Linked DNA regions of Callithrix jacchus. The protein of the gene in region 6 interacts with the protein of the main gene of each other region in a biochemical or structural test. Links are inferred from orthologs where the notes say so. Each region holds a gene or a part of one and is shown on either strand. Other genes may lie near its edges.

Region 1 (4,255 bases), about 11 Mb from region 6:
CATCAGAGCCCAAAAATGCCCTGGACATTACTGGGTAGCTGGGAGCCTTGGATAAGTTGCTTCATTTCTCTGAACTTCCATAGTCTCATCTGTGCATCTACTTCACTGGACTGTTATAAATGAAACCATGGATAAAAACCTGGCCTATAGAAGTACACCGTACATTTCTTCAAAGTTAAGGCAAGACAGGTTCATACAGCAGGAATATGGGTAATAAACCATGAGAAAATTAGAAGTGCTTCATGTTTGACTTTGGAATGTCACATATTTTTTCTTTTTACATTTAATCCTTATATTTTCCTTTTTTTTTTCCCAAATAAAATGAGTACTTTCCCCAAGTACGGTAAAGAGAGGAGGCTCTTGGAAAAATCATACTGGAATTAAAATATGAAGGAGTGCTGCAAGATTTAAAGGGTGTACTTGCTGCAGTGTGCAAAAATCCACACCTCTAAGAAAGGATCTCAGCAAAATCCTGACCCCTCTGGGGCTCTCTCTAGGCCTTCCCTTCCCCCACATTCCTGCCCCAGCCCTCAGCCCTTGAGTAAAATCTGGGTGCCAGACGCAAATGGGTGGTGAATTCTTTTTTCTGAAACAGGGTCTCACTCTGTCGCCCAAGCTGGAATGCAGTTGTGATCACTCACTGCAGCCTCAACTTCCTGAGCTCAGGTGATCCTCCTGCCTCAGCCTCCAGAGTAGCTGGGACTACAGGCATGTGTCACCACATCCAGCCAATTTTTGTATTTTTGTACTGAAAAAGTTTTGCCATGTTGCCCAGGCTGTGCAATGCCTTTTTAACCATCTCCTGCACAACACAATCAATAGTGCAGGTTGAGGGGTGAGGACATGAGGAGGCCCCATCCAGAGAACCCAGCCCTGAAATCCAGCTCTGCAGCAGCTGCTATTCCTTGATCAACTCTCAGCCCAAGGTGAAGAAGGGCAGCAGCTCAGCCTGACAGCCCAGCCTGGCCTCACCCTTCTCATCAGAAGGTGAGAGGTGAAGATGCCTGTCTGGGAAACAGGGAGGGCAAGGATGAACTCCCTGGAAGAGAGGAGCCTTCTTCCTCCGCAAGAAGGTGTGGCCACAGAAGGCTACTCCCTCTGTTTATTGCATATCTGGCCCAGCACCTTGAGGGAGTTCCTGGAGAGGACAGAGTTCAGACTGTGTCCCCAAGTCAGCAGAGGAGCTGCTGTTTGGCAACACAATCACAAAGACCACACAACTCAGGGACAGCCTAGCACAGACACGCAGAGATAACACAGCCATATACTCACTCACAGAGGGCCCCTCGGGCAGCACAGACACGATGACGCCCACCCCTCCCCAGACCCCCTGACCTATAGGGACCACCCACAACTCCCAGAACACTTTCATTCTGTCTCTCCTACAACCCAGTGATTCAGGGAACAGCGTCCCTCATTGCTCCAGGTGCATTCATTCATACAGTGATTTCGAATGCATGGTTGGGGGTCGCACTGCCTGGGGTCCCATCTTGACCCCACCATTTACCTCCTGCTACACAACTTCTTTAAGTCCAGAATGCTGGCAAACCTTCCACTGTAGAGGTGTTCTAGGATTAAAGGAGAGTGCATGCAAAATGCCACACACAGTTCCTGGCAGAGTATACCTGGCCCAGGCTATATGTTAGCTTTTATGATTAATGCACACAGGTGGACAGATGGGTCAGGATACACACTGCCCCCACTCAGCCTTCCCCAAGCACAGCACCAAGGAAAAGGCGGCAGAACCACACAGCCCTCTCTAGGCCTCCATCTGGCCGGTATTTCTTAGCTTCCTTCCCTGGGAACTCTCCCACTTTATACCCCAAGAAACCCATCACCACCCCTCCATGGTCCACACACTCCAAAAGTCACAGAGCACAGTTCCCAGGCTGGCCCTAAGAATCTGTTCAAAGCAAACGTCTCCCCCGCCCCCAACCCAGACCCCAGCAAGAGGCCACCCTCTGGGCCACCCTTTCCTCCCCGGCTATGTTTGGGACAGGTTGCTATCCCACCCCGTCACCCCACCACACACACACACACACACACACACACACACACAACCGACCCAGCCAGAAGCAGGAGCAACCAAACCAAAATCGTCTGAAGGGGAGTGGGGAGGGACAGGGCAGAGGATCCCCCCCAAGGAATCCAGCCCAGGCCAGTCCGGAGGCGGAGGCTGCCAACTGGAAAGGCTTTGAGAAAGCTTGAGGGGGCTCGAGAAGGGGGGAAACACTCCCTCACGCTCTATGCAATACACCCATTGCGGGAAAAGTTTCTAAACAATTTCAGAGAACTTCTTTGACAAGCTCCCGGATCCCCCTGGGAGCCTGGAAAGAGCCAGTATCTGGAATGGGCCATCTCGAGCCGCTGCCGTGTAACTGCCCCCTCCGGCCCGAGGGCCCGGCTGCCCTGAGCGTCTGGACCGTCCGCAACTTCGGGATGTTAGAGTTCGTCCGGGCCCCTCTGGCCCCGCGGGCGGGTGGACCTCGGAGGGGGATCCAGGCGGCAGGGTCCCGCCGCTGCTCCGTCCCCTCCCCACACCAGACCCACCTTGGGTGCCCGCGGCTCCGGGGGGCAAGAGGGCGAAGAGGAGCCCCCAGCGGCACCAGGCCGCCAGCTCCATGGTGCTCACTGCGGCTCTGGCCCCATGGCTCCGACTGGACCCGGCTGGGGAAGCGCGGGGCGCGGGGTGCGGCGAGGGGTGGAGGCCGGGCGCGCAGCGCCGGAAAGGGCCCCGTGGGAAGGGGCGCGCAGCTGCCCGGGGGGGGCTCCCCTGGTCTCTCGGGTCCCGAAGGAGGGGAATCTCAGCTCCACAACTTCATTCTTATACTTCCTCAAGCAGCCCTCCTCCTCCACCTCCTCCTCCTCCTGTGATTGGGAGCAAGCGCGCTCCCAGCTCGCCCCCTCCAACTGCATTCCAACAAGTCTGGGAGTGGCAACTCCCAGCTTCACTTTCTCCCTCTCTCCGCGCAGGCCTGGGTGCGTCCCTCCCAGCGCCGGGACGCTTGGGTTGCCTGCAGCCGCTCTCAATTTTCCTCGGAGAATCCCTAACTGCAGAGGCTGGTGATTCTGCCCCCTCCCCCAGAGTCCAGGACAAATTCCCTAGGCTGTCACTCTTCATGCTCTTTTAAGTCGCAGATTTTATCTTAAACATTCCTAGGAAGCTGGCGTCCTACTCATCCCAAGCCTATTTGTTTTAAAATCAAATAATGTTTTTCCACCACATCCTCTAGTAAAATTAATAGTCAAGGAGGAGGATGTGTTGTGTTTGCCTTGTGGCTTCCAGGACCCCCGGGCATATCTTCTGGAATCTTTGAAGTACCTTCTCCAGTCTGAAAATCACGGTCTCAAGGGGGTCTACAAATCTGGGAGGAGATAGTCATATCGCAAGGACTTCTTTTTTCTTTGAGTCGGAGTTTCGCTCTTGTTGCCCAAACTGGAGTGCAATGGCTCAGTCTTGGCTCACCAAAAGCTCCACCTTCTGAGTTCAAGCGATTCCCCGCCTCAGCTTCCCAAGTAGCTGGGATTACAGGCATGCGCCACAATGCCCATCTAGTTTTGTATTTTTAGTAGAGACGAGGTTTCTCCGTTTTGGTCAGGCTGGTCTCGAACTCCTGACCTCAGATGGTCTGCCCACCTTGGCCTCCCAAAGTACTGGGATTACAAGTGTGAGCCACTGCGCCCAGCCGAGGACTTCTATCTTAGTTCTTCAAAGTACATCCTTCTTGCTTATTTAAGGAGGCACCCAGCACCCATGCCTGCAAGGTTTCTTCTTTGCCCCTTGCCTTCTAGTAGCCTGCTTAATTCCACTTCCCAACTACATTCTACTTGGAGCCTCTGACCCTATGGGGATAGAAGGAAGACTTTTTTTTTTTTTGGAAATTTCAACAAGATATTGCATGAGATATATTTATACTAACAAATTATTCACTGTTTATCTGAAATTCAAATTTATCTGGGCCTCCTTATTTTTATGTGCTAAATCTGGCAGTTCTAGTTGGAATGCCCCAGCCAAGAACACAGCTATAATGGTCAAGAAGGGATCAAAGGCACCTATCAGGGACTGGAGAATGAAGGACACTAGCATCCCTTTCTCTCGTTCTCCCCCACACACCTCTTTAAAGGTATATACTTGCATTTCTAAACTTGCTTCCCTGTGCTGAGCATACTTATAGACAGGCACCTCTGGTGGAACAGAGCCCCAGAAACAGAGGGCTCTGAGACCGAGAGGACCTGAATTCAAATCTTGAAATCT
Region 2 (3,500 bases), on a different chromosome or scaffold from region 6:
AATATTTGACATACTTAGAATTACAGCTGTTTTTAAAAACTGACAACCATTATACTTCTGTTATCCAATGGTGATTTCCAGTGTATTACAGATTAAATATCCATAATCTATAGCTTAGAACTAAACACCTGTTACTCAAAATGTGAGAGGAAAAATGGGTACCTACTTGTAGGTGTTCGAGGTGTTCTAGGGACTTCTAATTCTGTCTGATGATTATTTCTTTCTACCACTGGCTCTTCCACCACATTTATACTATTATTTTGCATAATCTCTTGCAACATGTTAAATAATTCTTCTGCACGGGCACACTTAAAGGCAAAGATTCCTACAAATATAAACCAAAAGGGAAAAATAGTTAATATACCTTTAAAAAAACTATAGGAACACTTGACGAAGAGCAGAATTGTAAAGTAAGCATTCTATGCATCAAGAGTAAGAAATACCTTTTAAATAAATATATAATAAATCACTGATTATTCCCTGTTTCAAAACAAACCCCTGCCAAAAATTTACAGAATAATTTTCATTCATCCAAAGGAGATGGCCCAAAATAAAGCTAATGAAATCAAGACCTGCACAGTTACACTAGTCTGTTTTTTAACAGCAGGGGGAGCCTAACTCACCATTCCAAGGTTATCATTTGCCATGTAACAGGCCCCTTGCAAAGTCCCTAGGTGTTTTCCAATCGTTACCTTGTTTAATTATTACAGTAATTATAAGATAGGTATTACCATTTCCGTTTTATAGAGGAGAAACTTAACATTCAACAGAAGTCTTGTAACTTGTCAAGGCCATTCAAGTAGTAGGTAGTAAAAAAAAAACCAATGATAAAGACAGTCAATTTAGCAGGCCTAATCATTTACTAAAAAATCTTGAAGTTAACACAAGCCAAAATTTCCCGCATAGACAATATGCTTAATAAAAACTTGATAAATTAATACATAGTATATTATATCTTTTCTTAACAATCTATTTATTTTGGTATTTTTCTCAGGAGAAAAAAATATGAATTTAATCTTTGTATATAAAATAGCTGGAAGAGCAATATTTCAAATATAATATTTGGAAAAAAACACAAAGGTTCTACCTTGTCCAGTTTGACACCTTCGACCACTTTCAAAAGAAAAGAGATTCGAGTCATAGCCATAGCGTCGCAGGCAGAGGTAGTGCCATTTTACTGAGTCACGTTTGCGGGTGTATAAAATCAGTTCTGTGTCTGTAAGTTCCATTATGCCAGAACCTAACTCATTCCCATCATCATCCACATTAATAACCTAAAAAAAAAGTAACAGTCATACAAATATTTCACCAATTTGTCAGGAAAATGCATTGTTGCTAATTAGTTATTTGTAATTTGTTAGTTCATTCATCAAATAATGTGTGTGTCAGCCATGATCTATGTAGCAGTGTAACACTCAGTTCAGATCTGTAAGAAATTTATATTCCCACTGAGGAAACAAAATATACAAACCACAAAACATATATGATTAAGTGACAAATGCAACAGAGACTGCAGAAGGCAGGAACTGTGGTCTAAGGCTGTTGAGACACCTTCATGTAAGAGGAAAAAGACCTTTAGCTGGACTGCTAGTATAATTAAATTTATGCACAAAATAAAATAAGAAGGGAAATCTAGTGGATCAGGAGATACAGGGTACATCATGAAGACACAATGTTAAAGTAGAACAAAGAAAGTACCTTTCAAAGAGATCAAAATAAGATTGGCATGGAGTTCACATAAGCAAAGGTTTTGGACTGCTGAGCTTCAGAAAACATCCAAAGACTAAGATAGTAGATAACATTTAGGGAGAAGTTACTATTCCCCTGGGAGTGAAAAAAGAGTTTTATATGTATAATTTTTCTCACTTAACCCTCATAACAATCCTAGACTACATTGTCCAAAAAAATGGAAGTAAGACTTAGTAATAATGTAGCCTGCCCGAGGTCACAAAGCTTATAAAGTAACAGACTCACACCTAGGTTTGTGTGATCAAGGCTATTCTTTATAACAGATTGAGGTCAGATTATGAGACACAAAACAACTATGGGAGCATTTAGCCTATAGGTAACATAACAGCACAGAGTTTTGGCAAACAGGTTAGTGAATGATGAAAGAAGAAGATTAATTTGATGTTGACTACAGGATGAATCAGAGGGTGACTTGAGGTAAGAGTCCAGTTAAAAAATCATGCAGGTACCCATGAAAATAATAACTGAAAAACAGATGGTGATTCAACTGAAAAGGAACCCTGTGAAATGGCAGTTTAAAGACAGCGTTACCAGAATTGTATGGCTAATTAGATACAGAGGACCAAAGGAAAACTGAAAAAAATTCTGTACCGTAAGAAAACGTTGTCATCATTTATTAAATCAAGAAAAGACAGGGCAGAAAGAAAGGGAAATAGAAGAGTTTGGTGATAAAAGCCAGGAGTAAGATATGTTAAGTGAAATAAAAGAAGAATATCCAAGTAGGCAGTAAGATATACAACTCAACCAGTTTTACTGACCTTAAACTTGTTCCGATGGTTATCTGGGACAGTGTCTTTATCTGGACAGCTACAACAGCTACCCATGGCTTCTTCAGAAGACCATGTGTGTACTACATAAAAAATAATTTGGAAAAATTCATTAGATGAAGGATACAAAAATTGTAAACAGAAAAACACTTTAGAAATCATCTAACACAAACATTATTTTGATGCAGAAAATTAAGCCCAACAAGGTATATGGCTGCAGCTAGATTTTATACAACTAGCTAGTTGATTTTACTCAGTAACAAGAATAAATTTTGTGAGGTATTAATAATGTCACACAAATCTCAAATTTCTAGTTAAATTTGCAAAGGCCACCTATTCTAAAATTATCTAAAAAAACCCAACTTAAGATCTCATATATACAATATTATTTAAATAATTACTTTTTGTTTAAGAATATTGGAATAATATAATTAACCCTTTGTGGCTTATTAGGAATTTCATGCTCTTCTTTAAAGAGAGTGAGAGAGACAGAGAGAGAGACAGACAACAGAAACAGTCATTACGTTGCCCAAGGCTGGGCTCAAACTCCTGGGCTCAGATGATCCTCTTGCCTCAGCCTCCCGAGTAGCTGGGACTACAAGACTACCATGCTTGTTCTTCTTTAAATAAAAAATCACCAAAGGGATGGTGAATTTCTGGCTTGGCAGGTATTTTGACTGCTGTTACTCATTGTAGTATCTTTTATGTCTCCACAAGACAAGATTGGTAATTAAATTGGTAATTAAAACAAAATCAAATTGGTAATTAAAAGAAAATCAAATTTCGAATAGTGCATTAGTAAGAGAAAAAGACAACTCAAAATTAAGCAGTAAACTAACACACAGAACACTGGCAAAACTGATACATTATCTCTATTTAATACTTCTTTCCCATAGATGGTGAGAGATAAGTGGTTATATACCTGACATTGAGTATTTAAGAATACTCCAACTGAGAAGACAAAGAAAATATCAAAGCACCACT
Region 3 (4,022 bases), on a different chromosome or scaffold from region 6:
ACAAAAATTAGCCAGGCCTCGTGGCTGGCATCTGTAGTCCCAGCTACTCAAGAGGCTGAGGTAGAACTGCTTGAACCTGGGAGGCGGAGGTTATAGTGAGCCAAGATCGTGCCACTGCACTCCAGCCTGGGTGAAACAGTGAGACTCCCTCCATTCTCAAAATAAAAAAAGAAAGAGAGAGAGAGAGAGAGAGAGAGAGAGACTCAGAGGGGTGATGAGGGAACAACAGACAGGCAGAAGAGAGACAGACAGACAGACAGAGAGGCCGTCAGAGCTCAGGTCTGTGGGATTCATTTCCTCTCTGGGGGCCTCACTTTCCCTCCAGAGGACTTCTTAATGAAGTCTTTCCTTTTCTAACATTTGAGGTCTAGGGCTGGAAGGAGTTAGAGGCCATATATAATATATATATATATATTTATATTATATATAATTATATAATATATATATTATAATATAATTATATAATATATATATATTATATATATATATATATTTTTTTTTTGAGACAGATATTTGCTCTTGCTGCCTAGGCTGGAGTGCAGTGGTGCCATCTCAGCTCACTGCAACCTCTGCCTCCCATATTCAAGCGATTCTTCTGCCTCAGCCTCCGAAGTAGCTGGGAGTACAGGTATCTGCCACCACGCCCAGCTAATTTTTTGTATTTTTAGTAGAGACAGAGTTTCACCATGTTGGCCAGGCTGGTCTCGAACTCCTGACCTCAGGTGATTCGCCCATCTTGGCCTCCCAAAGTGCTGGGATTATAGGTGTGAGTCCTTGCACCTGGCCCAGAGGTTATATTAAAAAAAAAAAAAAAAAAAATAGGCACAGTGGCTCAAGCCTGTAATCTCAACACTTTGGGAGCCCAGGGCAAGAGGATCAGTTGAGCCCAGGAATTTGAAATATGGCCCAGAAAGACAGTTCCCATGAGACACACACACAGCAACGGAAGAGGTGAATTTGGGGGTGGGGGCATGGGGGTGGGAGGGGTGCCTGGGTCCCCTTGTCCCTTCTCTAACCTTGGTAGATGTCCTGGAGAGAACCAGCCCCGCAGAATTCCATGCAGATCCAGAGTTTCTGCAACCTGAAGTGGTTGGAGAATCAGAATAGTAAGAGCAGTGCTACATTCTTATTTCCAGGAAAGCCCCTGCTTTGCCTCTGTCTTGTTCTAGCTCAGTAATGTAACAACAGCTCTCATAGCTCCATCTCTCCTGTCTACCAGAGTGAGGTTGTTTCATTCCCATTTTACAGATGAGGAAGTTAAGGCTCAGAGAGGAAATGTGGGGGGGGTGGGCAACTCAGCTCGAACCTAGGTCTTTAGGTGGGACCCCTCTGCCGTCCCATGCCAACCCAGGAGACAGGGAAGAGATCTCATGGGTTGTGGAGGTTTGGAGGGGATAGCGGGGCCCAGGACACCTGTTCTGGGGAGCAGAGGTCATTATTGGGGCATCTGGAATATTAATTTGGGGATCAGGGAATTTAGGAGTTTAAATTAAAGGAGCAGAGCGTGAAACTGGGGGAAGCAAAGGGCAGAATGACGAGAGATTGGTTTCAAGGAGGTTGATTTCAGATTCAGTTATGAAGAGATCAGTTTGGTGTACTCTTGGTCAGAAATGTGAATTCAGGATTGGAGATGAGATTAGAGGCTGCTCGAAAAGTGGGACTTAGGAGTGGGGATCGGGTAGGGTTAGGCCAGTTAAAAATAGGGGTCCAGGATGGGAAGTTGGGTTATGGTGAGAAATGGAGGTTCAAGGTTAGAACTGAGGGTGTCAAGGACGGGCACGGTGGCTCATGCCTGTAATCCCAGCACTTTGGGTGGCCGAGGCAGGTGGATTAGGAGGACAAGAGTTCAAAACCAGGTTGGCCAACATGGTGAAACCCTGCTCTACTAAAAATACACAAATTAGCTGGCTGTGGTGGCGGGTGCCTGTAATCCCCACTACTCAGGAGGCTGAAGCAGAAAAATGCTTGAACCCGGGAGGTGGAGGTTGCAGTGAGCCGAGATGGCACCACTGCGTTCCAGCCTGGGCAACAGAGCAAGACTTCGTCTCAAAAAAAAGAACTGAGGGTGCCCCCATCAAGAAACAGGGGCTCTGAGTTAGGGGCTGGGCTGGGTGCCAGGGTGGGTCTGAGGTTCATCACCAGAGATAACTCCCATGGTAGGCCACGATGTTGGCATGCCGGCAAGTTTTCAACATGAGGATTTCCTTCTGAAGGGTGGAGACATCGTCGTCTGGAGGGCGGGAGAGAAAAGGCAGCTTGCACAGAGAGAGCTACGGGAGGTGATCCCAGTCTCCCAGGAGGCCAAGCTGGGGACGCGGGGAAGGAGCTCCGGGTTCCCTCCTCACCAGGCTCCATCTTCACCATCTTCAGTGCCACCAGGTCCCCCGACACCTTATCTCGAGCCTTGCAAAGGGGAAGTTGGCAGTCAGGCAGATTCCATTTGCCGGAGTCTCTCCTCAGCATCCCTGAGTCAAGGCCAAGGACTGGGACCCCCCTCTTGCAGCCTCCTCCCTACCGAGGCCTCGCCTTAAAGGTCACTGGTTTAAGGGTATTGGGGATGGAGGGGCTTCCTCACCTTAAAGACTTCCCCATATGTGCCGCCACCCAGTCGCTGCAGCAGGTCGTAATGGTCCCGGGGGTCTCTATTGAAAATGTCAGGGTCCACGAGGTCCATCCCTGGGGGCCGGAGCTGGGCCTGCGCCCAGGGGCCAGCAGGGCCTCAGGGCTCAAGTTCTGGCACCTCCCTCCGTCCCCAGAAGCCCTGCAACCGCCTTGCCTCCGCGGGCTGTGGCCTCCCCCCACCCCACTCTCGCTTCCTGCCCCAGCTGCACTGCAGGGCTGTGCAACGGGCTCCACCCCCGTCCCCTGGGCTCTGAGAGCCTCTGAGGGGCAGCTTGTCTTGGGACCCAAGGGACCATCCTTAACCCCCAAGGCCCGGGGCTGGATGTAAATGTGATGCAAATGATCTTAATCGTAACTTGGGGTAAGGGGTGCCTTGGAACCCCCGCCCCCGTCTCCTAGAATGGCTAAACTTCTGCGGGGTGCTTGAAGGTTTGGCCACGACCTGAAGGCGGCAAGTCTGCACAGGGATGGCTATGCAGTGTTCATGCCTGTTCACCTGGCACAAACGTGCACTTAGGTTACCTCCTCTGCAGTGCGCAGGCGTGTAGACGTGCATATGCCTAGTTATCTGTGTGCACAGTACACATGTGGATGTACCCAGGGCATATACCTCCACATACATGGCACATAACTGTACAAAACCTGAACATAATATAATTCATGGCTGTACAGCTGGGACGCTCTCCCTCATCTCCAAGACCGGAACCTAATGGAGACGGGGCGCGATCCGGGGAAGTCCAGGAGCCCTCACCCCAGCCCCTGCCCTGCAGAGAACAATAGCTTCGTGGGACCCTCCTCCTGGAGCTGGGGACCAAGGGCCGGGACTTGAAACTGGAGAGCTCAGGATCCTGCACCGGGGGCCCAGGCCTGAGGCAAGAGGGACCGCAAGAGGGCATCTCCCTTGGAACTTGTCCATGACCTAAAGGGAGGGCTGCGGCGTGCATTCCCGCAGGGCTCGGTGGCTTTATGGCCGCACGCAATACAACGCGCGCGCACGCCGCCAGCGCTCCGGCAGCTTCCCGGGGACTTCGCGCGCGCACGCTCCCGCGCCCCCGGCACTGGAACTGGGACTGTGAGGCCGGGGAAAAGCTTAGCCCCGCCCCGGCGCCACGAGAGGCGCCTGCGCATTAGGATACAGTAGGCTTTTTCTCACGCTGTCCGTCCAGCTCTAGTGGAGCGAATGCGCACGCGCCAATTGCGCCTGCGAAGAAGTGTCATTGCCGCCGGAAAGTGTGGCGGCTGCTGCGAGAGCCTTTCCCTTCACTGCCCCCAAGGAGCTGGAACGACAACAACGACGTCGTTTCCGTTTCCATCGCCTCTTCCTTTTCCCGTCCTCGAGGACGCCGTGCCAAGCCGGTGTTAGCCTCCAGCCCTGGTTGTGGAAGACGACAGTAGTCATG
Region 4 (2,717 bases), on a different chromosome or scaffold from region 6:
TAATTATAAGAACTCACCTGTGAATACTGCATGTCTGAGACACAGGTGACATTCAATAAATATTTGTTGAGCTAAACTCATTTTACTAGTTATAAATTATCCTCATGGAATTAATCCTTGATACTGTATATAAAGAAAAAGTCTACTGTTAATTTTTAAGAAAGGTTTCCCTTACAAATCAATTCCAAAAATTTTTTTTAAAAACAAAACCTCGACAAAACAAGTCAGCAAATCTGGCAAAAAAAAAAAAAAATGTTGTTCAATAATCCAGCTAAAATAAGCTCTCCTATGTTAAGTACAGATAGGTAAGTCAAATGTTGTTGGCTCTTGATTGCTGGAATTGTCTCTGAACCATCATCAAATCCAGCTTACTTTAAAGTAGCAATCATAAAATAATTCTATAGAAAAGTGATGCACTATTTCACTAAAATGTTACCCTTAACATAAAATGCAGTTTCTTACACTTGAAAGAAAAGATAAAAGAAGACAAAACAGCTCAGTTTAATTTCAAACGTTAATATATTTTCTATTTTATACTGAACATATGCATCTGTAACCCCTCATTTGCAGCAACTCTCACATCCTCATAAAAGGGGCAAAATTTGTAAGATGCCTCTTAAAATAAATATTCTTTTTTATAAAATAATAAAACTTCAAATAAATAGTCTTTACACTAAACAATATGTTGAAAAAATTAGAAAATAAAGGTTGAATTTTACTGTAACTGTACAATATACATGAAGTCCAAAGGGAAATCAGAGTCTTACAATAAAGGCTTTCTGTAAGGCAAAATACAATCTAAAAACATACTGATTGATTCACATTCTTCCGAATGTACAACATATTAGTATAATATTTTGTGACTGTGCCATGTAGTATGGCACAACTTGTTTTTCACAGTTGCAAATATTATTGTATATACAAAAATATAGCACATTCTCTCTGGAGAAAACAATGGAAAAAAGTCATCTGCTAATTTACAAGTTTTGCAAGTACTATTCACAAACAAAAACTTTGCCTAGGAGTGTGTGTGTGTTGCTTCAGCTTATGCAATACATGGGTCACCAAGTTCTGTATCTCATACTTTGAGCTCCATTAGCTGAGTTCTAACAAGCCTATCAGTTAAAATGGCACATGGACAGAAAGCATTTCACCGCAAACAGCAAAGACTATCCCAACTCTCTATGAACAGTGCCAAGATTATAACTGTTTAGTTGGTTGCATATGTGTGTTAAAAAAAGAAAGAAAAAAATCCTCATTACTGTAATATTCCTGATTAATGATGCTATGTTGGTTTTTCAAAGTTCCTGGGGGGGACAGTGGGAACTTTGCAGCAAACTGTGTTTGAGTTTTTACAACGGCATCCAGGCCTGTTAACACGGTCATAACACCCCTGGCACAATTTAAGGCAACCCTTGGCTGGAAGGTAACACCATAAACAAGGCAAAAAGAGGGACATGACACCCATGGCTGACCATCGTGTACAACAGTGAGACTGGCTGCAAGAACACGGGTTGTCAGCACAGTTGTCCTCATCATCATTAGAACAGTGATAGAAGAGACCTTTCACACAGCATACACAAGTCCCATAGTCAATCACGTTCTGGGCCGAGCAAAGGCACTGCTTGTCGCAGATCCAGTCTGATGGCAGAGGCCTTGGGTAGGTGCACTCCTTACATTTGCACTTGCCACAGTCCTCACACCTGTAGGCGTGCAGGCCCAAATCTTCCTTGCTTAGTGGCTTAAGCTCACTTGGCTTGAGCTCAGATTTGGGTTGCACCCGGATGATCCCATCGGCCACAGGCCCAGAGGAGAAGGATGATCCTAGCAGTCTCTGTTCAGAGGAGCTGCTGCTGGTACTTGTCCTCGTACTGCTCCGCGACCCTGAGCTGACCGTGCTTATGGATCTGGACAGAGGGGTTCGTGCAGAAGAATGAACCTGCGAGTGCTGGAGCCTAGGAGGCTGGCGGTGCTCGGGCAGACCGTGGAGTCTCTCGTGTTTGTGCTGAGTGGAGGGGCGCGGAGCATGCTTGAGCCCAGGTCTTGGGACGACAGTAGGCCCCTCTGTGTACTCATTGGTGTTTCGGATGGCTCTGATCTGATCCAGAGACAAGACATGTACTTGCTGGGTGAGGGTGTCTCTAGGGTCGGGCTCTCCACGCTGTCTGCCACCGTCACGGGGCGTCTGCAGCAAGGGCTGCGACCCGTTGCCACTCTGAGCTCTGGCCTCCATCAGGTTTTGGAAGTGTGGTCACTCCAGCAGGCTTAGAACACATCTGAACTCCTGAGGAAGCCAAGAGGAAAGAACGGTTTATACTCTAAGATCCTTCCCACTCTCCGCCCACCTGAATTCACTCCTCACTTCCCACTTTCCCTAGAGAAACAGGATTTGAAATGGAATGACAGTGGGGAGGTATTAGCCATATGATCAATGACGCATGTACCCAAGTGAAAATTATGGCTGGCTACTGACAATTCTGTAATCCCGTGATGTACAACAACACAAAGCTGATCTTTGTTTTAGTCACTTAAGTAAGAATTCCTTATTCAAATAAACATACAGTTTGCAAGGTTCAGGTTCAATGTAAAAATCGCAAGAAAGTTTTGCTGGAATATAACACTGCTACCAACGTTTTCAGAAGTTGAAAATTCTTTCAAAATGTGAAATAGGTTTCCATTTCTCATGGTCGTTTCGCCTTAAGCATTAATAATGTAGC
Region 5 (3,134 bases), on a different chromosome or scaffold from region 6:
AACAAGAACCTGCAGGCTGCACGCTTGTGGGTAGGGGAACCAGGCTCCCGGACCTGTGGCTGCTGGGGCTCTGGAGCCAGGTGTCGTCGACGGGCGGGGGCACGGGCGTGGACACGGTGCTGGTGCTGATGTCGCCAATGATGTTGAGCGCCTCCTTGAGGGCGTGGTACATGCGCAGCATGTCGTCTCGCCGCTGCGCCTGGTCGGCTGACTCCTCCATGAGGCTGCTCTGGTCCGCCGAGGAGTACAGGTAGGCCAGCAGCTCATGGTGGATGAAGGCCTTTGTCTGCGGGCAGGGGTTGGGGAGGCTCAGGCTTCTGCATCACCCCAACCCAGAACCCATAATGACTGCTGGAAATACATCTCCCACAGGGCGAGGCCACCCCCAGACTTCTTTGAGAAATCTTGCTCTGTCTCCCAGGCTGGAGTATAGTGGCTCAATCTTGGCTCACTGCCTCCCAGGTTCAAGCAATTCTGCTGCCTCAGCCTCCTGAGTAGCTGGGACCACAGGCGCACACCACCATGTTTAGCTAGGTTTTGTAGATGGGGCTTTACCATGCGGCCCAGGCTGCTTATGAGATTCTTATTCAACTTACTCCTAGCATCTTGTCTCTTCTATTGATACTGTCTTAGCTTCTTATTTATTTCCTTAACCTTGGCAGAATAGTCCTGTTATACTTTTATTTGTTTATGTTTTTGTGACAGTCTCACTCTATCACCCAGGCTGCAGTGGGTGATACTGCAACCTGCATCTCCTGGGTTCAAGCAATTCTTATGCCTCAACTTTCCAAGTAGCTGAGACTATAGGTGTGCGCCACCACCCCATCTAATTTTTGTATTTTTAGTAGAGACAGGGTTTCACCATGTTGGTCAGGCTGGTCTCGAACTCCCAACCTCAGGTGATCCACCTGCCTTGGCCTCCCAAAGTGCTGGGATTACAGGCATGAGCCACTGCTCCAGCCCCAAAGCTGGTTTATAAAGCTTTTTGAGTGGCTAGTGCCATGCCAAAGGCATGACCCACAAATGCCCTGAACCCTCCAGCAGCCTGAGCTGGAGATCGTATCAGCACAGCTGCATTTCACAGAAGAGGAACTCAGAGCCCTGAGAGTCTCCAGGGAACCTGGGGCCAGGCAGGTGATGCCCATGAGGAAGACAGGCTGCGCCCCCAGCCCATCAGGACACAGCAGCTGCCCGACACGACCTGAAGGCAAGGTTGCAACCAGAGTGAACGTGCATTTGAATCCCACTTCCTACTCTCCTAAGGGACTTGGGGCAGGTTACTTTATCTCTCTGGCCTCCAGTTTTCTGTCTGTGAAATGGAGTGCAGTGGCACCACCATAGTTCCCCGCAGCCTCAACCTCCTGGGCTCAAGCGATCCTTCTGCCTCAGCCTCCCAAAGTGCCAGGACTACAAACTGGTGTGAGCCAGGGTGGCTGGCCTCCTTCTCATTTTTTTTTTTTTTTTGAGACGGAGTTTCGCTCTTTTTACCCAGTTGCTGGAGTGCAATGGTGCGATCTCGGCTCACCGCAACCTCTGACTCCTGGGTTCAAGCAATTTTCCTGCCTCAGCCTCCCGAGTAGCTGGGACTACAGGCACGCGCCACCATGCCCAGCTAATTTTTGTATTTTTAGTAGAGACGGGGTTTTACCATTTTGACCAGGATGGTCTCGACCTCTTGACCTTGTGATCCACCCGTCTCGGCCTCCCAAAGTGCTGGGATTATAGGTGTGAGCCACCGCGCCCGGCCTCATTTTTTTTTTTTTTTTTTTTGAGATGGAGTGTCACTCTGTTGCCGAGGCTGGAGTGCAAAGGCATGATCTCGGCTCACTGCAACCTCTGCCTCCCAGGTTCGAGCCACTGTCCTGCCTTAGCTTCCTGAGTAGCTGGATTACAGGTGCCCATCACCATGGAGAAGATAGCATTTCTCCCTCGTGCAGTTAGTCTGAGGCCGGCATAAAGTAATTGAGAGAAGGTGCAGATCTGCGGTATTCGTTCCAGTTAGTGGACTCAATGGGACCATGGACCCAGTATGGCTCGGAAGCCCTAGGGTTTCCCAAAGAGACTGGCCGTGCAGATTCTGGTGTTTAAAGGGTAGTGACTTGTTCTGATTTGTTGCTGTTGCTGTTGTTGGAGACAAGGTCTTACTCTGTTGCTCGGGCTGGAGTGCAGTGGCATGACCACAGCTCACTGCAGCCTCAACCTCCTGGGCTCAAGTGATCCTCTCGCCTCAGCCTCCCAAAGTGCTACAAACAGGTGTGAGCCAGGATGCCTGACCTCCTTCTCATCTTTTTTTTTTTTTGAGATGGAGTCTCACTCTGTTGCCTAGGCTGGAATGCAATGGCACGATTTCAGTTGACTGCAACCTCCGCCTCCCGGGTTCAAGTGATTCTCCTGCCTCAGCTTCCCAAGTAGCTGAGATTACAGGCATGTGCCACCATGCCTGGCTACTTTTTGTATTTTTAGTACAGATGGGGTTTTGCCTTGCTGGCCAGACTGGTCTTGAACTGACCTCAAGTGATCCACCCGCCTCAGCCTCCCAAAGTGCTGGGACTAAGCGTGAGCCCCACGCCCGGCCGCCTCCGTCTCACTTTCAGTGTTCCACTCACATTGTTGATCATGAGGTGCATGATGGTCTTTGGCATGAGGTCGCGGATGGACTTGTTGATGATGGCCACGTACGAGTCCACCAGGTTGCGAATGGTCTCCACCTGCCGCTCCAGCTGGGGGTCCATGGAGAAGGTGTTCTCCTGGGCCCCGTCCTCGTTTTCTGCCTGCAAGTGGGAGGTGAGGTGCTTAGGGGTGACCTTGGCCTGGGGCGAGTCCTGGTTCTCTGGTAACCATCTGCCCTACTGTCCCATCGATAACTGACCTCATGCTGGCCCCTGAGAGCCCCGCTGGTACCAGGCAGACTTGCTTGCCCCAGGCCAGAGCTGCCCAAACAATGGGGTGATCCTGGCTGATGCTGGGGTGAATCCCCTCACCTGGGCATTGGAACGTGGTTGTTTTTTGTTGTTGTTTGTTTTTTGATAGTTTTTCTATGTCACTCAGGCTGCAGTGCAGTGGCACAAACACAGCTCACTGCAGCCTCAACCTCCTGGGGGGCGGTCAAGTGATCCTCACACCTCAGCCCCCTG
Region 6 (4,124 bases):
CTCAAAAGCCACTTGGTAATGGCGGAGACTTCCTCTGAATTAAGCAGTTAAGAATTAATTTCTCTCAGGAGAGCATGGTGACTCTATTCTGTATTACTTCCTTTCTCCAAAATCCTTTGCTCTTCTGTTCTATGCAACAATTAGAACTCCAATGCACAATATGCAACATAACAGGAATTACTGAAAAGAATCTCTAAGTACCAGCAACTGGTAGTACTTAAAACCCAGCAAACCTCTCAAATCGGAATAACTTGCTGACAAGTTAAGTGCCTCAAACATTTAAATGTCTGAGTTTAGGCTCCGCACAGGAGCTCACACCTGTAATTTCAGTACTTAGGGAGGCTGAGGCAGGCAGATCACTTGAGGTTAGGAGTTCGAGACCAGCGCGGCCAACATGGTGAAACCCCGTCTCCACCAAATACAAAAATTAGCCAGGTGTGGTGGTGAGAGCCTGTAATCCTAGCTACTTGGGAAGGTGAGGCACAAGAGTGCTTGAACCCAGGAGGTGGAGGCTGCAGTGAACCGAGATCCTCAGCACCACTCACTCCAGCCTGTGCAAGAGTGAGACTCGTCTCAGATAGATAAATAAATAAATACATACATACATACATACATACTAGGAGATAGCTGATCATAAGAATTAACTCTTTTAAATCTTGAGATTGGGAACATTTTGAACTTGGGAAGGAGCAAATAGAGATTTCTTTGTCAAAAACAACAACGAAGGCCAGTTATAATAGATGCAGAAAAAAGATCCCTGATTTTTAACTAAAAGCCTAACAAAGAATAAATTAGTACTACTACAACGCGCAGGCTTCAACTAATTCGATGGTCTAAATCAGTTCTAGCCTCTTACATTTTTCAGACTATTTTAACCTAATATAGACTTATAGTTGACCTTCACTTTTTAACATTAACACCCCCCACTAAAAGTCAAAAAGTCACATAAGCCCTGAGCTGACCCAATATTCCTTACTATTATAAAGACATACTGGAAGAAAGCATAAATAGGTACAAAAGCATAATCTTAAAAAACTAAAACACAAAACAACAAACAAACCACACTTGTAACCTAGTGGCAGGACTGAATTCTTAGGGATTAATTCAATCTTTTTTTTGAGACGGAGTCTCGCTCTGTCGCCAGGCTGAAGTGCAGTGGTGCGATCTGAGCTCACTGCAATCTCCGTCTCCCGGGTTGAAGCGATTTTTCTGCCTCAGCCTCGAGTAGCTGGGACTACAGGCGCGCGCCACCACACCCAGGTAATTTTTTTATTTTTAGTACAGGCGGGATTTCACCATGTTGGCCAGGATGGTCTGGATCTCTTGACAAAGTGCTGGGATTACAGGCGGGAGCCACCGCACCCGGCTGAATTCAATCTTTTGAGCCCCCCACCCCCTTCTCAGCGGGGGAACCTCAGCCTCCAATGGCTCTCTAGCAACCCTTCTGGCTGACTAGCGAACGCAGGGGAAAGCGCAAAAGTAAAGGCACCAAAGCAGGAAAGAGGATCTCTTCCCGAGAAAAAGGACGGAATCTTGAAATCAGAGAAAACTAACAGTGCGAAAGGGAAGAAACCTCGAAAAATTACGCCAGAGTGGGGACTACCAAGGAGGAAGGGGAAGTAGATTAGAAAAAAAAAAGAGGGGGGTGGGGGAAGGAAGGGGCAAATGACTTGCATTACACAAGCACTTCTTGTCCCTAGTGGAATGGACAGAAGTAGATAGAGAGGTAAGGAAATAACTGGAGAAGTACTGAGTGAAAGAGGGGTTAAGAAAGCCAGGGACTAATGCTGATTTCTCTCATGTGTCTGACATTTCTGAAAGTCAACAGCATCAAGAAGAGACACACCTCAAATGCACTTCAGTCCTCTGCAAACTGCACTTTCATAGCCTTTGAAGCCAGGCTTGAAAAACTTTCCAAACAAGCCATAACTCATATGTGGTTTACAATCACAGAGAGGGCGCGCTGCAAATGAAAATTACCAGCGCCCGCTCTCGCCGCAATGTTTCCTCGGTGCAGTCCAACCTGCTGCTGCTTAATTTTTCAAATAATTTTTTTTTAAGTCTCAGAATAAAGACATCTCCCCCGGGGAGATGAACGTTCTACCCCACCGTGGATTCCCGCACAAAATTAAGCCCAAAGACGCCAAGAGATGGTGACGTGGTTGTCATGCAGGTCGGAGGCGCATCAATCACCACAGCTGCAGCCCACACCAAGTCCCCCGCCGCCGGGATCGGGCGGACTGACTCAGTCGGGGTTTTGCCCTTCCGGGCTTCCCAGGCCCCTTTCGTGCAAACCCTTCCGACGAAGGCAGGGGACTTCACGAGGGAGCCCCGACTTCTACCCCCGGGCTCCCGGACACTGCACAGACAGCCGAGAGCCGGAGGAGGACGTTCCCCAGGAAGGAAGCGCCCCAAAAGGGGAAACGCAGAGTCCAGAGCCTTGGGCATTCCACTCCGCGTCCCGAGCTTCGCCGCCCCGACCCGACCCCAAGGGCCGGGGTCCCGGTTCCCCCAGGGCCCACTCCCGTCGCAGAGCGGAGAGGAAGAGACACAGGAGCGGCGCCGAGCGCAGCCGCCCGCACTCACCGTGGCGCAGCTAGTCCGCTCCGCGTCGGGCCTGACCCACCTCAACGCTGAGAGCGGCCGCCGACCCCGAGGCTGCTCCGCGAGGGCGGCGCTTGCTCCCGCCGCCGTCACGGTCACAGACACAGAAACAGACACAGACACAGCCTCAGCCACAGCCGCCGCCGCCGCCGCCGCCGCCGCCCGGTCGCCGAAGCAGCAGAGCCGCCTCGCTTCCGCTCGCCGTGGGTGTCCCGCGAGAACTTCTCCACGAGGCCCCGCCCCGCCCCGCCCCCGCGAGACTTCCCCCGGCGGAAAACGCCCAAAGCGCAAGCGCTCCTCCTGGGCCGGGCTCCGGCAGGTAGTGACTAGCTAGGCCCCAGGGCGCATGCGCCAGACCGCCCGCAGCAGGTGGCCTCGTCACGGCTCCGCCCCTGGGTCGCCGTAACCCTCTCGGTACCAGAGCGGGTAAATAACAGCTTAGTCCTGAAGGAATAAATTCTTACCCCGTCTAATCACTTTCTTTTCTCCTCTACCAAACCAAGGCAATTGGATATGGATGGGGGCTGGGGGGAGGAAGAGAGTTTCCAGCCTGAAGCACTCCAAACAGAAGACCAGGTCTTGAAATATTTGAGAATCCGTACAAACTCTGCAATGTTGAATGATTGGTGGGTTTGTTTACTCATTTATTTAATTATGTGCCTAATATAGGCTGAACACTGTGCTGGATATAGAACAGAAATCCTGGTCCTTAAGGAATTTACGGTCTAGGGAAGCAGAGAAAAATAAACAAATAATGCCATAAGTACTGTTATTTGGAGTTTGCTGAGAAAGCTAAAAAGATGGAAGAAGAATGGCTACTCTGCCCATTGCAAAAGAGCCTTTACAGAGGTGATGCGGCGATGTCTAAGCTGAGTCTTGGGGGATGAGTAGGAGTTTGCCAGGCAGAGAAGCCAGAGTAAGGGCATTTCAGGGAAAGGGAATGGCACGTAAGTACAGAGGCTAAGTACAGCGGAACGGAGGCGTGAAAGTCGTGTGCTGTGCAGTGCTAAGTAGTTCAATTCCTGTATGAGGCCGGTGAGTATGGGGGAGTGGCAGAAGATGAGGCTTCGGTAAATAATTCTTGTTTTTCAGTTATCAAAGCTCTTTCCAATTAAAGGATAGAACAGAACACACCTAGTGTTAATGTGTCTTCTGGAAGCCAAAAAAATAGCGTTGAGATGAGAATAACCAAGCATCTGATTGTACAGAGGAAACAAGCCCATTGAAACACAGAAAATGAGCCGGGCACGGTGGCTCAAGCCTGTAATCCCGGCACTTTGGGAGGCCGAGGCGGGTGGATCATGAGGTCAAGAGATCGAGACCATCCTGGTCAACATGGTGAAACCCTGTCTCTACTAAAAATACAAAAAATTAGCTGGGCATGGTGGTGCATGCCTGTAATCCCAGCTACTCAGGAGGCTGAGGCAGGAGAATTGCCTGAACCCAGGAGACAGAGGTTGCCTTGAGCCGAGATCGTGCCATTACACTCCAGCCTGGGTAACAAGAGCGAAACTCCGTCT
Region 7 (4,041 bases), on a different chromosome or scaffold from region 6:
TGTGGAGATAAGGCTTTGCCATATTGCTCAGGCTACTCTTGAATTCCTGGACTCAAGCAATCCTCCCTCCTCGGCCTCCCAAAGTGCTGGGATTACAGGAGTGAGCCACCACACCCAGCCAGCTATTTTATCAGAACAGTCTGCCCCCTGAACTGTTACATTCATAGCATTAGCCCAGTAGAGGGCACCGCAGTAAACTCTGAAGGAATGAATGAATAAATGAATGAATGAATGAAGTACTTGGAGAGTCTGGAGTTCAGAAGAGAGCAAACTAGGAATCTGGATGGCAAACAAGGCCAGGGTGTAGAATTGATAGCCCAGGACAAGTATATACAGAGAGAGCAAAGCAACAGAAAACTAAAGAACGCTGGACATTGAGGAAAGCCCAGAGGATATGACCAGGCAGGATGAGACCAGAAGGAAGGAAGAAAAACAGCTCAAAGGAAACCGGGCAGTGCAGGGAGCAGAAGAAAACACACACACACACACACACACACACACACACATACACACACACACACACACACACACACCAGCTTCTAATTAATATCCTTAGAGATGTATAAGATGGTATTGCCTCCATGAAACAAGAACAGGAGGCTATAAAAAAAGAACAGTCAGAAAACAAGAAAGAGTTTCTGGACAGGATAAATGAAATTGCAGTGGAAGGGTTGAAGAATAAAGTCAAGGAAATCTCCCAGATGATATAAGGAAAGGACAGTAAGGTAGGAAAGAGGAGAGAGAAAGTTAAGAAAATCAGAAGAACAGGCCTGGACACGGTGGCTCATGCCTGTAATCCCAGCACTTTGGGAGGCTGAGATGGGAGGATCACTTGAGCCCAGGAGTTCAAGGCCAGCCTGAGCAACATACCGAGACCCTGTCTCTACAAAAAATTGTTTTAAATAAGCTAGGTGTGGTGGTATGCGCCTGTGGTCTCAGCCACTTGGGAGGCTGAGGCTGACCGAGTAGCCTACTTGGGAGAATCACTGGAGCCCAGAAGTTCGAGGCTGCAGCAAACTACGATGGCATCACTGCACTCCAGCCTGTCCCTAAAATAATTAAAAAATAAAAACAAATGCCCGACTCACTGGAGAAGGCGCTGTCTCGAAGGCCAGAAGTGCTGAGCGCAGGAGCTGGTGGGGCGGCAGTGCTAGCAGCCGGGGCACTGTCGGGAAGCACCACCCTGAAAGGAAGTGAAACGGGCTGGTGAGCTCAGGCCCAGCCTGAGCCCCCACCTCCCACCTCCCACCTGGCCACTCACAGGTAGCCCGGGTTGTGATAGTCATCCTCATCCTCATCCTCATCCGCATCCTCACAGGCTGGTTCTGGGGGTAACAACACAGGGGTCAGCCTAGCCCAGGACAGGCCCCAGCCTCCCCCCACAGCCCGGGCACCTCGGATCCCAGACGCACCCTCGTTCTCATAGCTCGGCACGCTGTTGGCTTCAGAGACAGGGAGAGAGGGAGACTGAGTCAGCTCAGGCCAGGACGATCTTCTTCCCGGCCCCAGCCTCCTCGGCCCTTCCCCACACTTACCACCATCTGAGTCCCGCCGGGAAGATGGCATCCGGTGGGAGCCCCCGGGGGGCTGTGGGGATCTTCTGGGAGTCAAAGGTCAGGGGTCATGGCTGAGGTGGGGCTCAGGGGGCAATGGCAGTTGCAAAAGGGAAAGGGGCTACCAATCCAAGAAAGTGAGGGGGTGGAGGGGCGTTTGGAGGGGTAGGGGAGCAGCTACTCACGGGATGGGAAGCAGGTCTGGCTGGCTCAGGGGTGGGTAGGAGGTGACAGGTGGGTAGGTGGGCGGCCTGGGGGCGAGTGTGTCTGAGGACACAGAACCAAGTTGAAAGAAGGACTCCAGACATCGTCAAGGCCTCAAAGAACAGACTAAGCTCCTGAAACCGGTGCACCTTGGACAGGCCTGGGGGTGCCATCTCCCCTCTCCCAGCTCAGGTCAAGGCCATGTGGGCAGCCCCAGGGTGGCAGGGGCTGAGGGAAGGTTCACACACACTCCTACACCAGGGGACCCTCTCCCCGACACTGGAGGTAGGGGACCCTCAATGTACTCACAAGGTCGTTTGATCTGGATGCCCCTTGGATACAAACTGGTAAAAAAGACACAGCTTGGGGCTGGGGCTGGGAGAGGCCCCAGTCCTGCCCCACCGTGGGGAGTGGAGGGAGACCCAGGGCAGCCAGGGCAGACTCACCTATCTGAGGAGGTGCTGTCATAGGAGCCTGGGAAAGAGAGGGCTGCTAAGGCAGGAACACGGGGTGCTGAGGGCAGAAGGTGTGGGGAGTCCAGGGGCTCTCAGAGACACTGGGATTGGAACGGAGGCAGGGCCAGAGCCAGGACAGACGCAGGGGCTGGGAGTGGTGAGGATACCGTCACTGTGCCCAGGCCCCAGGCACCCCACCATTCCCACTCACCTGGCAGCCTGTGACAGTGGACACACAGCGCCATCAAAACGGCCAGGATGGGCAGCAGCAGGAGGCCCAGCACGCAGGGGACCAGGATGGTCTCCTCCATCTGCAGGGGAGCTCGGAGCAGGCCGGCTTACCCCACAGGCCCCTCAAGGGCAGAGCCAAGGCCAGGCAAGGACAGGGTGAGGACCAGGTGAGGACTGGGTGAAGATCGGACCAAGCAGGGGGCAGGTAGGCAGCAGGTGGCGTGGGAGCCCAGGAGGAGGCGGCAGTTCCCTCCCCGGGGCTCCCTGGATGGGTCCCCTCTTTTTCTGGGCTGAGTGGGCGTCCAGCTGGCTGTGGGAAGTCTCTGCTCCCCGGGTGGTCAGACCAGGGCCCAGACTGAAGTTGGGGGACCCAGCCACCCGTGTCCCAGCCCTACCCGCCCCTCCTCAGCGCCCGCCTCTCCCTGTGCCTGCCCACCCGCCTGCCTGCGGCAGGAAGCTGTGGTGAGCACCAGGCGAGGGCAGGAAATCATCGAGCTCTCAGTCGGCTGTACCCGCCCCCTTCCCACTCCACCCTGCCACTGGGGAGGGGGCAGGAGGAGGCCCGGGAGCCACCCCAGGCTCTCACCAGGGGTCTTTGGGCCCCCAGGAATGGGACAGCCACCTGCTGGCTGGCAGCCACGGCCTCCACATCCAGGGCCTGGGGAGGCAGCAAGCGGGGAGGCCCTGACAGCAGGAATTCTGGGGTGCAGAAGGCAGTGCCCACCCCCACCTCAGCCAGTCCTGAGAGGCAAGGGGCAGGCTCCGGGGAAGCAGGGGCGTGACTCACAGTCACACCAAGCCAGCTCACACAGAGGACAGCAGTCTCCGCTCTCAGTCACCCAGACCAGAAGGGCAGAGACTCACTCAGAGCCCCAAGGGGTGACCCACAGTCTTCAGGAGCCCTGGGGTGAAGACGGGACGCAAGATCAGAGGTCACCCAGAGAAAGACAAGAGCAGGCACCTGGGGTCTGGCTACAAATTTTATTCCATAACAAATAGCACCGAGCCCCTGGGGCTGCCCCTGTGGAGGGGGATCCCCTTCCTGTACCCCCACCTCCTCCCCTGAGCTGCCCATGTAGTGTCTGGGAGCTGGGATACGGCCCAGGGTCCCTCTGGAAGCTGGGTCAGGCCAAGGGGTTAGGCCCAGGCCCCTTGTGGGGTGGACCCAGGGCCAGCTGCGGCAGATGTGCAGGCAGGCAAGCGGCGGCCTCTCAGATGAGCACGCTGGCCACAGGCACCCGGGTGGAGCGGCCCCGCTGGGGCACCACGATCCGGTCATCTGTGGGCCCTGCCTCGCGCAGCAAGCCTGCAGAGGGAGGGTCAGAGCCAGGGTGAACCGGATGGACAGACAAAGCCAAAGAAGGGCAAACAGGCAGCGGGAAATGGATGGGGCAGTCACAGAGCTGCCCAAGGGGTAGACGCAGACACGAGGAGAAAACTGTGGACTGAGCCACCAGGTGCACAGAAGTGGGCAGACAGATGGACGGACAGACAGGCAGATCAAGAAGCTGGGCAGAGGACAGCCCCTAACTGACCCTGCATGTGCAGCTGCGCCCGCCGGCGGTCGCCCTCAATGAAGATGGCGGTGCCCAGGAAGG

Evidence for each region.
Region 1: the proteins of GRB2 (region 6) and ERBB2 form a complex in vitro, tested with the Homo sapiens proteins (4 studies listed by BioGRID and IntAct, with this or other methods). The link is inferred for Callithrix jacchus from reciprocal best matches to the Homo sapiens genes GRB2 and ERBB2.
Region 2: the proteins of GRB2 (region 6) and FRS2 form a complex in vitro, tested with the Homo sapiens proteins (2 studies listed by BioGRID, with this or other methods). The link is inferred for Callithrix jacchus from reciprocal best matches to the Homo sapiens genes GRB2 and FRS2.
Region 3: the proteins of GRB2 (region 6) and MAP4K1 form a complex in vitro, tested with the Homo sapiens proteins (3 studies listed by BioGRID). The link is inferred for Callithrix jacchus from reciprocal best matches to the Homo sapiens genes GRB2 and MAP4K1.
Region 4: the proteins of GRB2 (region 6) and SPRY2 form a complex in vitro, tested with the Homo sapiens proteins (2 studies listed by BioGRID and IntAct, with this or other methods). The link is inferred for Callithrix jacchus from reciprocal best matches to the Homo sapiens genes GRB2 and SPRY2.
Region 5: the proteins of GRB2 (region 6) and DNM2 form a complex in vitro, tested with the Homo sapiens proteins (3 studies listed by BioGRID and IntAct, with this or other methods). The link is inferred for Callithrix jacchus from reciprocal best matches to the Homo sapiens genes GRB2 and DNM2.
Region 7: the proteins of GRB2 (region 6) and LAT form a complex in vitro, tested with the Homo sapiens proteins (3 studies listed by BioGRID and IntAct, with this or other methods). The link is inferred for Callithrix jacchus from reciprocal best matches to the Homo sapiens genes GRB2 and LAT.

What each region holds. Positions count from the first base shown.
Region 1 is NC_133506.1:120,159,730-120,163,984, reverse strand, and holds the start of ERBB2 (receptor tyrosine-protein kinase erbB-2), read right to left. Parts: upstream 2,801-4,255; 5' UTR 2,624-2,800; coding exon 2,551-2,623; intron 1-2,550. UniProt on the Homo sapiens protein: Protein tyrosine kinase that is part of several cell surface receptor complexes, but that apparently needs a coreceptor for ligand binding. Essential component of a neuregulin-receptor complex, although neuregulins do not interact with it alone.
Region 2 is NC_133510.1:72,118,454-72,121,953, reverse strand, and holds part of FRS2 (fibroblast growth factor receptor substrate 2), read right to left. Parts: exon of another isoform or gene 2,970-3,500; intron 2,606-2,969; exon of another isoform or gene 2,600-2,605; 5' UTR 2,574-2,599; coding exon 2,508-2,573; exon of another isoform or gene 1,699-2,507; intron 1,275-1,698; coding exon 1,088-1,274; intron 326-1,087; coding exon 167-325; intron 1-166. UniProt on the Homo sapiens protein: Adapter protein that links activated FGR and NGF receptors to downstream signaling pathways.
Region 3 is NC_133523.1:34,195,093-34,199,114, forward strand, and holds the start of MAP4K1 (mitogen-activated protein kinase kinase kinase kinase 1), read right to left. Parts: upstream 2,801-4,022; 5' UTR 2,675-2,800; coding exon 2,576-2,674; intron 2,404-2,575; coding exon 2,346-2,403; intron 2,231-2,345; coding exon 2,140-2,230; intron 1,082-2,139; coding exon 1,017-1,081; intron 1-1,016. Other genes in the region: EIF3K (eukaryotic translation initiation factor 3 subunit K), read left to right, coding at 4,020-4,022. UniProt on the Homo sapiens protein: Serine/threonine-protein kinase, which plays a role in the response to environmental stress. Appears to act upstream of the JUN N-terminal pathway.
Region 4 is NC_133502.1:34,892,466-34,895,182, reverse strand, and holds the end of SPRY2 (protein sprouty homolog 2), read right to left. Parts: intron 2,285-2,717; 5' UTR 2,234-2,284; coding exon 1,286-2,233; 3' UTR 501-1,285; downstream 1-500.
Region 5 is NC_133523.1:9,992,234-9,995,367, reverse strand, and holds part of DNM2 (dynamin-2), read right to left. Parts: intron 2,772-3,134; coding exon 2,607-2,771; intron 287-2,606; coding exon 54-286; intron 1-53. UniProt on the Homo sapiens protein: Catalyzes the hydrolysis of GTP and utilizes this energy to mediate vesicle scission at plasma membrane during endocytosis and filament remodeling at many actin structures during organization of the actin cytoskeleton.
Region 6 is NC_133506.1:131,303,794-131,307,917, forward strand, and holds the start of GRB2 (growth factor receptor-bound protein 2), read right to left. Parts: upstream 2,801-4,124; 5' UTR 2,587-2,800; intron 1-2,586. UniProt on the Homo sapiens protein: Non-enzymatic adapter protein that plays a pivotal role in precisely regulated signaling cascades from cell surface receptors to cellular responses, including signaling transduction and gene expression.
Region 7 is NC_133513.1:28,976,691-28,980,731, forward strand, and holds the start of LAT (linker for activation of T-cells family member 1), read right to left. Parts: upstream 2,801-4,041; 5' UTR 2,524-2,800; coding exon 2,424-2,523; intron 2,232-2,423; coding exon 2,204-2,231; intron 2,102-2,203; coding exon 2,067-2,101; intron 1,821-2,066; coding exon 1,739-1,820; intron 1,601-1,738; coding exon 1,413-1,600; coding exon of another isoform or gene 1,326-1,412; coding exon 1,262-1,325; intron 1,184-1,261; coding exon 1,089-1,183; intron 1-1,088. Other genes in the region: SPNS1 (protein spinster homolog 1), read right to left, coding at 3,279-3,749. UniProt on the Homo sapiens protein: Required for TCR (T-cell antigen receptor)- and pre-TCR-mediated signaling, both in mature T-cells and during their development.